Struthio camelus: one gene and its partner. The protein of the gene in region 1 interacts with the protein of each later gene in a pairwise test. Links are inferred from orthologs where the notes say so. Each region holds a gene or a part of one and is shown in the gene's direction. Other genes may lie near its edges.

Evidence for each region.
Region 2: the proteins of PPL (region 1) and RAB3IP interact in binary tests that used the Homo sapiens proteins (3 or more experiments, as listed by UniProt). The two-hybrid records come from large-scale screens. The link is inferred for Struthio camelus from reciprocal best matches to the Homo sapiens genes PPL and RAB3IP.

Annotation. Positions count from the first base shown.
Region 1 is NC_090956.1:17,374,437-17,382,987, forward strand, and holds the start of PPL (periplakin), read left to right. Parts: upstream 1-5,390; 5' UTR 5,391-5,470; coding exon 5,471-5,532; intron 5,533-8,551. UniProt on the Homo sapiens protein: Component of the cornified envelope of keratinocytes. May link the cornified envelope to desmosomes and intermediate filaments. May act as a localization signal in PKB/AKT-mediated signaling.
Region 2 is NC_090942.1:40,821,423-40,829,156, forward strand, and holds the start of RAB3IP (rab-3A-interacting protein), read left to right. Parts: upstream 1-4,257; 5' UTR 4,258-4,357; intron 4,358-7,734. UniProt on the Homo sapiens protein: Guanine nucleotide exchange factor (GEF) which may activate RAB8A and RAB8B. Promotes the exchange of GDP to GTP, converting inactive GDP-bound Rab proteins into their active GTP-bound form.

The DNA of each region.
Region 1 (8,551 bases):
AGCGCGGGAAAGGTGACGCCCGCGAGTAAAAAGGGCGCGAGAAAAGGGGGCGCGAGCGGCGTGGGCCACCGTGGCCGGGGCTGGAGCAGCCCGGCTTAGCCAGGCTCGTGACTGAGCCTTGAAGGGAGCTCAGGGAGGTTTCGCCCCGCGACGGAGCAGTTTGGAACAAGCACAGCCACATTCCTGCCAGTCTGGGAGCCGCGGGAGGGAAGCGGCAGCTCGGCGGTGCCGCAGTGCCCGGCTGCCGTACGCTGGCCGGGCACTGGGACGCCCTTCAAAACACCCCGTCCTACCTCCAAACGGCCAAAAAATCCCGGGGCAGTGGAGTGACCAGCTCAGCTTCACGCTCCCGTGAGGCTTGCCAAAAATTTCCACCCAGGAAAGAAAAAAAGAGGTTTTGGCTGATCCAGTTGTTTTCCCACCAAGCGCCTCAGCTTTTGGAAGAAATCTCCCACTTTTTTCACAACTCCTCCCGCTCCCAAACTGAATCCTTCAGCCTAAAACCAAACCCCTTCGACTGGGCAACGGCACCGAGAAGCCTCCCGAGAGCCGACGCTGGGTCCCGATCGGGGTGCGCTGGAGCGTTGGCCGGGCAAGGGGACGGGACGGCTCCGTGGGGAAGGGAGCCGGCGTCACCCGGCCAGGCCCCCGAAACGGTTGCGGAGCCGGCATTTGGAGGCAGCGGCGGCGGCGTGCAAGGAGGGCCCTGCGCGGGAGGAGCGGGCTGCGAAAGCAAAACCTGGGGGCACGCAACGCGCTCGCCGGCTCACGAGCTGCCGCCCCAGGGGGAGCGAGCGCTGGCGCGCTGCTGCCTGCCTGCAAGGACTGCGCTCTGCAAAAGGCGCTGGCTGGCTGCTTGGCTGCGCCCACGGGAGAGGGGCCGCAGAGGCGCCCGCGGGACCCCCGAGCCCCGGCGGGACGCGGCGCTCGCCGCCCCGGGCCATCGCTGGCAGGGCGTTTCTGCTTCCTGAAGCCCAAGAAACATTAGGGGATTTTTAAATTCTTCTGTGTTTTTAATTGCATCAAAACCCCAGTGAGCACAGAGGCCCGAAACCTTTCCGGAGCTTTTGCACAGCTTCTCCGTTTCGCCGTATCCCAGATTTGACATCAGCTCTCATTTCTCTCCTCGCCAGTATTGCCTCTTCCGAATTGGCAGACACCCGGGAGCTGGCGGCAACCGGACACGGGGCCCTGTGCCGGCCTCGCCGCGTCCCGGCCGCGGCGCCCATGGAGAAGTGCCTCTTTTGGAGGGACTCGGGGCAAGGTGCCGGAAGCAGCCATGATTCCTGCCCGAGTACAAGGGACAGCAAAGCTCGGGACGCCCCTCAAAATCATTTTAAGCCTGATTTTAGGCTCTGGTTTGGCTAGTGCAGGAGGGCAGCAGCACGGCAGCGCTCGTCACAGCTCCGAAATCGGGTGGGATTAAAGCTCTTGCCCAAAGAGCAGCCGGCGAGCTGGGCTCACACGGTGCCTTAGCCCAAAGGCAGGATAGAGGCAAAATGCCCGGGCGGTTTGCACCGGACAGGCTTCCACCCCGACGGGGTTTCTCGCTGCCTGCCGGGCTTCCCCGAGCCGTTTCGGCTCGGCGGCTCTCAAGGGCACTCGCGCGCGCAAATGAACCGCGCCGGAGATGAGGGGAGATTAGGGGGATTAGCGCCGCAGAGGTCACGCCGGAGGGGAATAAAAGAGGAAAAGATGCACACAAAAAAAAAAGAAGAAGAAGCGATAGACAGGGACATTTCCTCGGTACGTCAGCGCTCTGTTCACCTTCCGGGCTGGCTCAGGAGCTCTGCGGAGCGGGACGAGGAGCTGCCTTTTCCCGGCAGGCCGGCCGGTCCGGGGCGACGCGCTGCCACGACGTACCGGGGGGTATCAAAGTGCCAAAACCTGAGAGTGTTTTCTAGAGCAAATAAAGCTAGGCAAAATATCATCTGGTTAAATGGAAGGACGCGGAGCATGACTTCTGCCTGCTCCTCCCCCTCGGCTTGGGCCACAAGCCAACGCACGCTGCCCTGGGCAGGCAAGACACTGCTCCTGGGGGACGGTATTGCCCCGGCCACAGTGCAAGAGGGCACCCGGCTCTGCCGGCGGGGAAACAGGGCGCCGCCGGCAGCCAGGCTCTCCTGGGGCTCTTGCCTGCAGAGACCCCACACCACTCATCACAGCGACTGCCAGCAGGGCTCCACAGAGGCCCTGGGCGGCCAGGCCTCGGGGCCGTGCATGGGCAGGGTGCCCTGCTGGCGCCGCCAGCCAGAGCCCCCGAGCCGCCGCGCCGCTCAGCACGGCCCCGCCGCCTCCTCGCCCAGCGGAAAAAACCGGCCCTCCGCCGGGGCGCGCTTAGCGTGCCAGCCAGAACGGCGTTCGCCGTTTGACCTAGCAACGGAGACGCAGGCTCGGGCATCTGGGAGAGCGCTAAATATATCTCTGCTTCTCAGAGACTTTAAGACGCAGGGTTGGAAGAGGCTATGAAAACGCAGCGCGTTAGTCGTCCGGAGGGTAGTAATACATTCGCCCTTCTCCGCGCGCTAGCGCTGCGGCCGGCGGCAGGGGTGCAAGCCGGCGAGGAGCGAGCGTTTCGGAGGTTCGCTGCGCGGGCCCAGCCGGACGCCCTGCTCTGCTCGGCCCGGCGTCCTCGCTCCAGGCTGGTGCCAGCCCGCTGCCCGCCGGCTCCCGCCGGCTCCTCTGCCTCCGGGATCAGTTTTCCCCTGCGCGGCTCGGGCGGTCGGGGCCGATCCGGCCCTGCTCGTCCCACGCCTGCCGGTGCGGCTCTCCCCGAGGTCGGGGAGCGACGGGGACACGCATCCCCCTCCGCTGCTGCCGCCGCAGCCTGCTGCCTAATGAAGAGGGTCTCTCGCTAGTGGGGGCTAGTAGGCCCCACGCTGGCAGGCAGCGCGGAGCAGGATGGATGCCGCGGAGCGGACCTGAGTCAGCCACGAGCACGTGGGAACGGCATCGGCGCCCGGCAGAGGCGAGCAAAGCCGGGCCGGCGCTCGGGAGGCGGCAGGGGCAGGCGGGAGCCAGGGGCGGAGGGCTCCTCTCCCCCAGCAGCCCGGCGGCCGGCTCTCTTTCGGGCAGGTCTCGCTCCCTTGCAGGGGGGTGACTTCTCCGCTGGAGCCCGCAGGGACCCTCCAAAGCGCCAGGCTGCGGCGATGCAGCCGCACAAGGCGCCTTTTGGGGGCCGCAGGCTGCACGCAGCCCCCTCCCTCCTGGCTCCCGGGTCCTGCCTCGCCGCCGCCGCCACCGGCTGGGGCTCACAGCCAAGCTGATTTCCAGCGATTAATCAATAGGAGAGCCAAAGGGCAACGCCACGCCAGCGCTCTCCAGAGAAAGCACAGGGCTCTCTTAAAAGCTTTGGAGCCTCAAACAAATCAACTGCCATCACCTTCGAAGCGCAGAACACGTCACTCGGTAACCAAGCATCCTTTGCCCCGCTAGAGTCGGTCATTACAGCACCGTCCCCGCCGCCGTCCTCCAGCGAGGACCGCGCCAGGCCAGGGGGCGGCTCCGCTCTGGCTGGGAAAGGGCTGGCGGAGCCGGAGAGAGCGGCCGGAGGTGCCACCGACCGTCCCGCGAGCCCCTGCTCTGGCTGCCGAGGGCCCCGGTCCGCCGAGCTGCCGCAGCCACGGCCCTGCGAGGGGCTCGGTGCCGCCGCCAGGCAGCGCGGCTCTGCGAAGCAGCCCTCGCCGGCGAAGGCGGCGTTGCTCGAATCAGAGCATTTTGCAGAAATTGCCTCAGATGTGGGAGAACTGCGAAAACTCAGGAGGTTCTCGGATGCTGCCTCTAAAAAGCAGCCAGGATTACATGGATTGCGCACCTCGCTTCTTCGCCCAAGGTTACAGCCCAAGGAGCGGAGGTGGAAGAAGTCCACGCGCGCGCGCGCACACACACACACACACACTTGCACATACTTGCCGCGTGCTCGAAGCGCTAGGACCTGCTGCCCCCCAGCATCGTGCGGACGCAGCTGGATCCGTGCAGGAACGGTTCTCCGCGCAGCGACAGCGAGCGCAGGGCTCGGGGCTCTGCACGCCGCGTGGAGCAAATGCTGCCGAAAGAGGTGGCAATCCGACCCAAGCCGGGGATCAGGAGCAATAGGTCACAGCCTGCACTGACTTGCCCCGAGAATGAAAATCAGCAGAGGATTTGGGGCTGGTGAGGTAGCGACAATCATGTATTCAGTTGTTTAATCCCAGATGGGCACAAAATCCCTGGATAAAAAGGCCAGAGCTGCTCCTAATTGCTCAGTGCTGTGCACACGGGGATGGGTGAGCAAAACCTCTTAGGCTGCGGCAGGCGGGAGGGAGCCAGCTCTCTCCCTTCCCCACTGCCCGTCTGTGCCCTGAGGACCGGCCCCGAAGCCGGGAAGGGCTCCGGGTTGGGGGAGCAACCTCCTGGCAGTTTTGCGATAGGATTTGGAAGAGTCGCTTCCCAGCGGACTGTTTTCTGCGGCTGGAAGGCCAAAGCCAGGCTGCCTTGGGCCCCTGTGCGAGAGCCGGCGGGAGCCGCTGAGCGGATGCAGCCCGAGCCCCTGCTGCAGCGCAGCCGGGGGTGGCACAGCCCTGGCGTGGCGCCCGCCGCACAGGGTGCTGGCGGCTGCTGGAGCTGGGCTGCCGGCCGGGGCAAAGGGACACACGCCAGCCCTGACCGGGGCACCGGACAGCCTGGGGCCCTCTCCGAGCTCGTCGGCCAAGCTGCCGCCCCAAGTCCGCTCTGGTCCCTCCCGAGACCAGGACATAGGCAGAGGCGCTGGGGCAAAACCGCGCAGTGCGGAGAGGCCGGCAGAGGAGCAGGCGAGCCCTGCAGCCCCGCTGCCTGGCAGCCAGCTCTCCTTGCCGCCGCAGCCCTCGGCCCCCTCGGCACAGGAACCAGGAGCAGGGCCCGTCTGCCCCGAGCAGGCACCCGGCACTGCGCGGGAGCACCCCGGAGGGGAGAGCACCCCGAACGCACCCCTGGCCCACAGCAGGACTGCCTGGGCAGGGCTGATTCCCAAGGATTTGGTGACTCTCGGAGCACTTCTCTTTGGGGAATCTGCCCTGCCTTTCCAGCGGTGATTTTTTTTTTACAGCTAGTCCAACACTGCCCTTTCCTGAATCTTTAAGCCTGTGCTCTTCCGGGGAGCCGGGACAACTTCGACACGTCTCTACCCCGATCGGAAGAGCCGAGGAAAAAAAAAAAGGGAAATATCTGGCTCTGACAAAACTGCCCGCCAAGTCGGCGAGCCCCGAAGCCGGGCCGCCCCGCAGGAGGAAGGGGCTGGAGGCGGCGCGGCGGTGCCGGGGGGGCCGCGCCCGCGCCGCTGGCACCTGCCGCGGCCGCGCAGGCACCACCCCGGGGCCGGGCCAGCGGCAGCCGCAGCCCCGTCCCCGCCTCCCCCGGCCCGGCCCGGCCCGGCCCGGCCCGGCCCGGCCCCGCCGGCTCCCGGCGCAGAGAGGCTCCCGGCGGCAGCGGGGGGAAGGAGCCGGCCGCCGCGATGCACTCGCTCTTCAGGAAGCGCAACAAAGGGAAGTACAGCCCCTCGGTGCAGAAGAAGAGGTGAGTGAGCGCCCGCCGCCCCGTCGGGGGCCGCCCGGAGCGCGGCGCAGCGCTCGGCCCCGCCGCGCACCGCTCCGCACCGCTCCGCACCGCCGCCGCGCACCGCGCTCGGCGGGGTCCCCGAGAGCGGCAGGGCTGCCGAGCCGCTGCCGTGCCCTCCTCGGCGGAGGCCAGAGTCGGTCTTCGAGCCTTCGCAGCTTCAGCGCTCGTTGCCTTGAGCTTTGGTTTCGTTAGAACCGAATAGTCAGTGTTTCCTCTTCTCTCGACGCCCTTTCTGTTGGGGTGGAAATGGATTTTAAGTTGTGCTGGTGCAAGAACACGCGCGGGGTTACACATACCCCTTGCAAGAATGCTGTTAAAATGGAAAAGATGTAAAAGTTCCCAATAGAAAAGGCACGGCCTCTCTCCAGGCTGAATGATTCATTGTAGGAGAGAAGGAAACTGGAGGGCGGCCAGTCCCCAACCCCTGGGTGCATGTCAGGGACAGAGGGGTCATTTTTGCAACAGAAGTTGAATGTTCTGATCAATTCGGGAGGAAGTCTAGCATTTCTGGAAAGGCCTGGAGAGGCTCTGGAGTGTATACACTCCGGGAGCCACTAGTGAGTAATGCGAGGAAGGGAAGGAGCCCTCCTGCCTCCGTCTCTCCAGGTGTGGATGTGAGCCGGTGGCTTTGTACTGCTGCGCAAACGGCTCTCCGGCCGTTCGGCATTTCCTCTTTCCCTGCTGCGCTTCTGGCAGCGCTGCCCGTCTGCCGCTGGGATGGGGGTGACGGGGAGACACCTGCCCCAGCCTGCGGGCTGGGCGCTGCAGCGCTGCGCTGCGCTCCCCAAAAATCGTCCTTTGGGAAGGGAAACTCAAGAACGGGCGCGGGGGCTGAGGCTGCGTTCAGGGACCCAGGAAGGGGGCCCCGGGCGGCCCAGAGGGTGCTGACCCCTTCCGAGGCGGGGAGCTCAGACAGCCGAGGTGCGCAGGTCTGCCTTCAGCAGCTCCCGGAGCTGCCTCTCACCCCACCTGGGAATTAATCCGCTCAGTTCTGGGCTTTTTTGGCTCGACTATCCTGTAGTCGCAGTGCTGGCGGCGAGACGTCAGGGAGCTGTCCTGACTCAGCGGAGGGCAGTGGGGGAGCTGGGGAAAGTGCCGCGCTGCTTCCTCCCTGCAGGCAAAACTAGGGCTGCCTGCAGGTCCCATGCTGTCGCTTTTGGCATGGGGGTCCCCTGAAAGGGGGAGACCCTGAGCGTGGGGGGACTCAGGTCGGTCTTGGCACCTGCTGAGCTCCCTCTCTCAGTACTGAGGACCAAAGAGCTCCGGCTCCGGAAGCGGGGATGGGATCCCCAGGCAGCCTCTGCAGCCCGACCGGCTCAGCAGGGCCGTCGAAACAGCCGCTTGCACCCCCTCCCCAAGCCCCGCGGCACGCTCTGGCGCCGGCTCCCACCCCAGCAAGGGCTGGTGGAGGGAGAGGAGTTTGTGCCATCTGAGGCACAAGCACGCGCCTCCCCGAAGGCCCCGTCACCAGCGTCGAGGGCTGAAGGAGCGATTGCAGCCTCAAACGAAGATGTGAAAACCAGGTTCTGTTTCTAATCTCCACTGGTGTCGGAGTAGGGCTTGAACACAAGAAATGCCACACCTGGCTTGACATCTCAGGACTCTGAGCAGCACCCGGAGCCCGGGAGGCAGCAGGAGACGGGCCTTCGTGCACGGGCACCTGGGGCTCGGGAAGATGGCCTTCCCTCCAGCGCCCTGCCAGCAAGCCCAGCACGCTCGGGGCACCGCCTCAGAGGGACGTCAACGCACCTCTGACGGCCGCAGACCTGTAGGCCAGGATGAAATCTTATTCTTTGTGGCTGGATTGTGCAGGCTCAGGAAGCGACGCGCGATGTGGCCTCGGGCCACCCTCCCTCCCCGCAGCACGGAGAGCCGTGTCTGTGCCTCCAAGTGTGTCCACGCACACCTAGGGCAGGGCTGCGCTTATTACGCCCAATTTGTTAATTCCTGTGCTGGAGTTTACAAACATCTGCGAATGCAGGGAACGCTCCCGCTCTGTGGAGACGTCCCTGCAGTCGAGAGGGGGAAGCCAGAGCCAGACCGGTTAAACGACTTGCTGGAGAAGCCGGGGGCAGATTGCGAGTTGAGGAGCTCCTGCCGCCCCGTCCCGCGCTCAAGGCGCTGCTGGAGTCGGAGCCAGCTCCCGCCCAGTTATGCTGCTACAAAGACAGAGCAACCCTGCTAAAATCAACAGCCCCGTGCTGTAAACAGGAACAGAGGCTTGGACACAGCGGCCAGCCCAGCCTCAGCCGGCTCTTCGGAGAGGCTTTTTCAGCTGGGGAAAGGTAGGTTGTAGGGTTGCGTGTTAGCTCAGGGCTGAGTGCCAGGGTGCCCCTGGTGACTGAGCGTTCAAAGCATAGTAGTGACAGAGCACATAACTGAGCACCGGTTTGGCAAGCGATCAATCACGCTGGAACATTTCCTGCAGGTAATAAGGAGCCAGGCCTGTGATCTCAGCTGATTCAGTTAGGGGTTGCCTAGGAAGTACCTTCCTAGGGCAGTTAGCGCTCTGACACGGACGACTGTACGACTCGATCTCGGTGGCTCCTTCAGTCGGCAGCCGTGGGACAAATTCCTGTTGCAGCGCGGGCATCTTGCCGTCTGTGCTCGGGCAGCTGCCATGATGATTAGCGCCAGAGATCAGAGCAGGGCTGTCAGGATCTGAAGATGAATCTCTGCAGCTCAAGCCAGGCTCTGTAATCTGCCCAGGAACAACGTTCTCCGTCCTTCTGGCTCCGAATGCAGACAGCCACCAGTCACCAACCCAAAACTAGCCCTTAAGGCTCCAAACCAAAGCACCTTGAAGTTTATGGGCTTCAAGCAACCCCCTCCCTACCCCAGTTCCTATCTGCGCACGGCCTAGGCATCTCGTACCCCAAGGTGCTACCCAGAGCTTGCTGAGAGCAGAGCCCGAGGCCCTCGCCCAGCGGGGCGCGAGGTCCCCTACGCAGGGGTGGGATGCTCTGCTCCGGCCCGG
Region 2 (7,734 bases), on another chromosome or scaffold:
GTCTTGTCTATGCCACGGTTCCCAAAACTGCTAGCACTGGTTCAGCTGAACTAGCAGAAGGAAAAAAAAATCTCTAGTGTAGATAAGATTTATAGTCTCTGTACCTTAGTTTCCTTATATGTACATAGTAGAACATTTATTGGCTTCTCTTCACTGTCCTATGGTGTTGCAATGCATGTACGACTTCTATTAATAGATTTATCCCTTGGTTTGCCTGAGTTTATTGTTTTGTAATACCTTCTTTGAAAGTGAGGTAATAATTAGTTTATGCAATATTAAAAGCTAACAAAAGAAACAAGCAAGAAGTACCTCAAGGAAGTAGAAAATAGAGTCCAACCTTATCTGCTTTATTTATCTGTGAAATTGCTGAGGCATCCTTCCCTACCACACACTCGAACACCTTCTCTTGAGAAAACCACCACCTCATTCTTCTTAGTCCTCCCAGCCTGCAGGAGGAACAGTTTGACTAGCCAGTGTTTGTGCCTGTGAGTACATGTAAGAAGCCTTTATTAAAGTCAAGTCAGATCAAAGGGAAACACTGCACTTCACTTTAAAATCCTGCAGTCATTCTTGGCTTTTAGCAGAGAAGCCTGCTACAGTCTGGGCCTAGCCTCTGTGAAGCATCTTTTTCCCCTGTGCTTTTTCCTCACCGAGACTGATTTTCCTCACTGAAATATAGTCCAGTGAAAGGTAACTATTAGGGAAGAATACAGCTGCATTTGGAGACACGCTCTCTCACACCAGTGGTTTAAATGTAATAGAGGATTTGGACAGACAAAGATGCTGTAGTCAGAGGGATTGTGTGCAGTGAGGGAATATGTTTGCGAAAATATTCACCACATTTTGCACCAGTATGTCTGGACAGAAGCTACAGCAATGAGTCTGTCAGTTATCAGTATATGGACTGCTGAGACCGAGTCTGACTGCAGCAAGATAGGATGCAGCTTTCTATCTAGCTGGAGAATGTGAATTTCTATTTTGGGGCATCTAACCACACTAAGGAGTCCAAAAGGAACATAGGAAATGATTCAACAAGCTGAGTAAATAGATTTTCTAGGAGCAGCAAATACTGAAACAACGCAATTGCAGAAAATTCCATCCTCCACGTTTTATATATTGTGCAGTTTTGTTGAAAGGTCCTGTCAGACTACATCTGTTTATTCAGAGACAGCATTCATGGCATATTTTATTCCAGCAAAGCTGTAAACTGTACCTCACTTTCTACTGGCCACAGTGGCTTTGCTCATTTAAAAGAACAGCCATGTATGTTTTTGCTTATAAAAGGACTTTCAGTTTTCCTGATGGTGTCTAATTGCCAGGACCCTGATGGCACTACTAGGCCTTAATTGTCCTGACCAGCTTCACCTGGGATCTCCACCCAAGCACCCTTTTTCCATAGTGGGGAGGGGCTCTAGGGGCTTCATTTAAGCTTGGGTTTGGGACTGCAGGTTTTGCCTGAGCTGTGTTTTGGGTGAGCCTGTCTCTGTTCCTTCCCCCTTGGACGAAGCTCATACCTACATTGTAGGTGGCTTGGTCTTTGGTCCTGTCTTCTGCTGTTCCTGGGTGGACTTCTAGGATGGATCCTGGACGTGATTCAAAATCTCACCTTTTCTGATGGTCACTAGATGAATGACAGAAACTGTTGCTGTCACCATCCCAGCCCTGTGCATGACTGTGCCCTTGCCGGTTGGGGCCACCCTTGGTCCCAACTAGTTATCCACGGTGGAGTGGCCCCATTCTTGCTGTTCCCTGGTGCTGATGTGCAGCTCAGGAAGAAACCAAAGGTTGCCTAAAAGTACTCTTTTAAAACAGATTTTTTTCTTGAAAAGAGACTCTAATTTTTATTAATATATTTGAACTTGATCCTAGTTGTTTCAACTTCTAATTTTAACCATGTAAGTTATATTTTCTACAGTTTCTTGCCATCTGACTTTTCAAAGTATCATACATAGCAAAATATAGGAATACTTTGACAAAATAAATCTGTTCATGATTAATTTTAGCACAACCAAATACCTTTAGAACTGTATGGCTTTTATTTCTTGAAATGCAAGACATCTAATCTGGTTAGAACAGCAGACTGTCATGCCAAGTACAGTCATTCTACAGGATTAAGAACTATAGGATTACAGATCCTAATTATAGACTCTTGTCAGTTTACTAAATCCTGATACATTGTTTCCAACTTCTGATTCCACTTGTCAGGTCTCTTTTGCAATCATGTTTTTAATGAACTTTCTGATGTATCTTCTAACTTCAGAAACCTGTATTCTGATAGCACTGACTGGTCTCTATTGTATGTTTAAAGGTCGGAGCACCAAGACCTGAGCATCTCCACTCTGAGGCTTTTCACAACAAACTTCAAATTATACTGTTATTCAACTACACCACTTTCTGCTCTACTTGGTTCATTGGTTTTAGATTACTTCCCGAGAAGCAGTTGATGATGATTCTATGTAGCTTTTTTTTTTTTTTGGCTGCCTGACCGCTCCCCACCCCACCTGCGGTCAGTGTAGATTTATGCACTGAAGATCATTTTAAAAGATACTACTATTTATAGGTAATATATTTATGATGAATGACATTGATATCTTTGTCTTTTGACATCTTCTTTGTCATATTATTTTGCCCTCAATGAACTTTTTGCTTTGTGGAAGCTATGGTTAAGAACATTATTTGTCCAATTGTCGATAGCTGTGTCCTGCAGGACTGGTCAAGCAGCATTCTTTCACATTCAGTGGAAAGCTGTCAAGATAATTAACCTTTCAATAATTGACTGGAATGTGGCCTAGATTCTTTAACTGATGAATGGGGCGATCTTATTTACATTAGGATTTTTTTTGCTAAAGTTACTTACCAGTGCAGCACTCAGTTCAGCTGCTACTGACAATAAGCAATAATAAGCAATGATACAGTCAATACTGCTGTCATTTGAAGCATAAGTTTTGGCTGCCTAATCAGAACAGTGGTAAAATGGAGTCTTGTTTATAGAGACCTTCTAATGTTTTGACTACTGATTCTAAAAGCAATATACAGACTGGGACTTCAAAAGGAAAAAGGGAAGGCTACATGTTAACTGCCACAAAGTCAGAAAATTGCCTGAACTATAGTAGTTGTCACGGTTGCAGTAACGATGGTTTAAGGACATAGTCAAGCCAAGATTAGAAGTAATAGTAATAACTTCTTATTGGACAAACTAGTAAAGCTGGAAAAACAAAGCTTTTTTTTAATAATAGTCTTTTTTAGTTATGGGACCTTATTTCATCATTCCTGTGCATATGCATTATAGTTCAGTCTTTTATTACATATATTAGACAGGAGTAGGCCCTCATTTAGGGAGATGCATGCCCCATGAATGAAAATCCCTGGGTAAGTATCAGGTTTCTCATTTTTGATTGTGCAGTCCTGTAACTTTATTACTGTATACCAATTAAATACAGAACTACTCATTTCCTTGCTTTTTTTTCCCCCCCCTCAAAGATGCTCCAGGTAACAAAACACTCAGACTTTGACAATCTTGTCCTCACCTGCCTGTGAACAAAAGTGATGTTTTAGCCCTCTTTTCCAGCTCACCATCAGAGGAGCTAAGTATTGACAAACCACTTCCAAAGTCACAACTCTACCTGTAGTTTGCCTTCTCGCAAACCGCAGCACCTAAGACAGTTTATGCTGTGCACCACTTCAACGGTGAGTATTCAGTATTTTTTCAAGTTGGGCCTGAAAACGATGAGCTGGGAGCGCGTTGTGGCCAGAGCATCAGCCAGGAGAGTCCTTGGTGCTGCTGGCAGTCGAGGGAAGGTGACGGCGAGCCCGGAGCAGACCCGCTGCAGCCATCAGAGCGGCAGAAGAGCCGGGAACGGGCCCACTCCGGCCGTGTAGCTTGTCCTCCCCCCTCAGCCCGCGCCTCCTTTCCTCTAGCCCTTGGGAACGCGACTTGTTTGCCGACAGCGCGACAAGCCGAGGGCCGGGTGAGGCAGGGGCCGCCCTACGAGCCTCCTTTAAGGTGTTTCGAGTCGCTGGCGAGGCCGGCTGCTCCCGCTCAACAGCGTGGGGCGCTTCCCGAGGACAAGAGGCAACTCCGGGGGGGGGGGAGGGGAATGGAGACCAGGCCCCACAGAGGCTGCTGGCGGAGGCGAGCCGCCGCCCCACCCCCTTCCCGCCGGGGCTGGCGGTTGGGGCGACGGTTAAACCCCTCCCCGGGCGGGGTCTCGCGCACCTGCCTGCCTCCCGCCCCCGGCGGGTGGGGCGCATGCGCAGTGGTTGCGAGGCGTCCCGCCCCCTCCAGTCCCCCCCCCCACCGGCGAGGTTGGCTGAGGGGACGCGGTGCGGAGACGGCCGCTCTCGCTGGGCTCGGCAGGTGAGTGGCGGCGGTGCCCCCCCCCCCCCCCCCCATCGTGGGGCCCCACCGCGCCTGTCCGGTGCGGAGCCGCCGGCGGGCTTCCCGGTGCCGGCCGGCTGTGGGGCGGGCTCTGCGCCCGCTGCCGGGGCCAGCTTGGCGGGGAGGCGTCGTGCGCCCGGCGCGGCGCGGCTCGTTCCCGGTGCCGTTGGCTTGAACCGCGGTCGGCAGCGAAGTCGCTTGGGGTGGGGGGAGGGGAGCCCCCGGGCCGGGGGGCTGCGGGGCGGCGGTGCCGGCCGGCAGGGAGGGCTGACGGTTGGCGTTAGTTAGCGTGAGGGGGAGCCGCGCTCGGGCTAGCACTGCTCGCAAGCGCTTCCCCGTGCCCGGCGGGGCAGCGCGGCCGGCTCCGGGCGGGGGTCCGCGGAGGGAGGGCGGGCGGCGGCGCGGCCCGAGGGCTGGGGCGAGGCGCGGTCGGCGCGGTGGCGGGCTGGTTTCGGCGCGGTTCCGACCGCTCCGCGGTCTGCGAGCGCTGCCGAGGCTGACGGCGGGCCCGCGGCTCGGCGGCCACTGCGTACTGCTGCAGCAGCTCAGGAGCGGGGATTTGCAGCTCGCCGTCGTTTCTTAACGCGATTACGCTGGAGAGCAAGGCGCGCGGAGGGAATTCTGGTTGCGAGTTGGTGGCAAGGCGGTGAGCGGTGCGGAAGCGTTGCGCTGCCGACGTGCTCGCGCTCTGCTGGGGGCTCCCTGATACTCGTAGGACTCCAGGAAGCAGGGGCACACCAAGCGCAAGATCCTGGACGATGCCGTAAACTCAGAAGTACTGCTGACAAAAAGCAACCGGGTTTTCATCAGTTTGGAAGTGTGGTCCGCTTTGTTTGCGGATGGCTTACTTGACTGTGTGCTCGCTGATTTGTTCGTTGTGTTCATCTGTAAGCATCTTCCGCAGAAAATCTGAGAAACGGTGATCTAGGTAGTTAAGACTAGCAGTATTTGTGATTACCAGCTTCTCTTTAGGAGCAGACGAAAGGTTATTCAATCTAGAAGCATGCAGTGGCAGCTACCATCTGTTCGAATATTTACATTCCTCAGTAAAATAAGGGAAGAACCTTAGCTCTTGTTGCTTTAATATTTTTATTGTTGTTTTCATTTTATTATAGATTGGTTTAATGAGGTCTGGGGTGGGTTAAAATCAGGCCTTTTGTATTTCTGTCTCAGCGGTCGCTCTTCTGCTGCGCTTGGTTAATGTTACCTAGTGAGCAAAGAAGGATGAATAATTTACCATTCTCATTATGCTTTTAATAAATAACAAATGTGAGTGCACCTCACAGCTGCAACTGAAATATCCATCTTGTTACAGTATATTTAAAAGGGTAAATTTTTCTATAAGGAAAGTTAAAATAAATCTTCTGATTACAAACTACACCTATCTTCATAGCTGTATTGACTTCATTTAAAATTAATTTTAAAATGCTAAATAAACTGCTCTCATAGCTATTCCAATTAAATTTATGGATTTTCTCAGAAAACATGTACTTTGGATTTTTATTTTTAAGAGCCTTTTAAATATGGTGCTTAAAGTCTTGTCTACTGTAACTTTGCCAAAACTTAAAGTTTAAGACACTTCAATTACACGTAGTATGGTAACCAGTTTTTTCAGAAATTAAGAAAATGAAATATTTCCTTAATGCGTTTACAGATAGCTTTAGAAGGCTTTGCAAAAACCGTGAAAACTGTAATCATTTTTATTTATTAATAAAATATTTTTAGTGTTAATTAAAAAATGAAAGGGTTACTTTAGTTGAAGTTTTGGCAAGAGTTGTGATGCTGTCAGTCAGTGTGATCAGGCTTAAAACCGATAAGGTGTTGTAAAGCTGTTTCCAAAACAAGGCAGAACAGTGCTGTGCCTTAAAAAGAGCAGTATCTGGAAAGAGATGAATATTCACAGTAAAACTAACTTGGTTTAGAGAGGCTTTTGGAACCGAACAGCATTCACTGAATGTTTGTTTATAATAAAATTTCCAAGCATTATACCTTGCAAAGCACTGATTTTTTTTTTTTCCTCTCTCTCTAGTAAAAGGTATACTGGATTCTAGACTGCATTTATAGGTTTCACAAACACTTCATAAATATAGATCTTTGAATCTTGCCTGCTACTTATTTTTGTAAGAGATAAAACACTTGCAGTCACCTGTACTTTTCTAGATGAAGCTATCCCAATGATAACACTTTCAAATGAGATTTTTAATCATCAGTTCAGCAAAACAAAAATTCTTTTAATGGACTTGATAAAATCTTGTTATCAAATAGGTTAAATATTTCTTTAAAACAGCGTGAAAAATTGTTTTGTATGTCTAATATGAGAGTACAGAATATAAAAGACCCTGATCATAGTGACTTCATATGGCATAACTAATAGAAATATGATAGGAAAAAAACCCTGTTGAACTGAACTGAACCTTTTTTTTTTTTTGCTTGTTCTTTAAACTTTCCTCACTGTTTCTTTTGCTTTTGATAGGTCAATATGTTGTGTAAGATCACTTTCAAATAAAAGTAGAATATCTGAAGACTGGAGTAGTTCAGTGCTCTTCTTTTCTCTCATATCTTGCTGTCTCCCAAATTATGTTCCCTGTTTGGGCTGCTTAAGTAGAAAGTTCCATCATAATTGCAAAACCTTAAAGGTAGGGTAATTTTTCTGTGTCTCTGAAGTAGCTAAAGGCCACGCTATCTTATTTTATCTCTAGTTGTTTTTTATATAATCTTAATAAATCAGACTTGTGAAGAATTTACTTTTATCACAATCTGTTGCATAGTGGTGCTTAAACAAAAACTTCATATCTTGCTTGCAACACTTTAAAGGCTTTGGCTGCTGGCATCTCATTGTTTATGTGGTGGGCAAGGGCTACAGGAGCGCCAAGGTTATTTGGTGAGCTGTAATCCATGCCAAGGTAGATTGGAGGGAGGCAGTGAACCATACTTATGATTCAATTTTGAATTGTTTTCTGTAAACCTTAAGGGAATTCCTATGCCAAATCTTGAATTGTGTTTGTGCAATGAACTAGCATCGATAAGCATTTAAATTTGCTTGAATTTTGTGACTAATGAGTTTTTAAGCTTAAAACACTGTGTAGCCCTGAAGAAAAAACCCTTCAAACTTTTTTTTGTCCATAATTGGATAGGTGTGACTTATACGGGTATTTTAAACCTTAATTTAATATCCTCATAAGCTTTACAGAAATATTATTTTCTTAACTTCCTATGAAAAATACCTGCTTGCATCTGATATCTGTAGGTATAGAGTGGCTGTACTTAATTGGACTGCCTCTTTAAGAGTTACTTCTTAGTCTGCTAGTGTGCTACACTGTCATGCCCTATTCAGTTCTTTAGGACTTAAAGCCTAT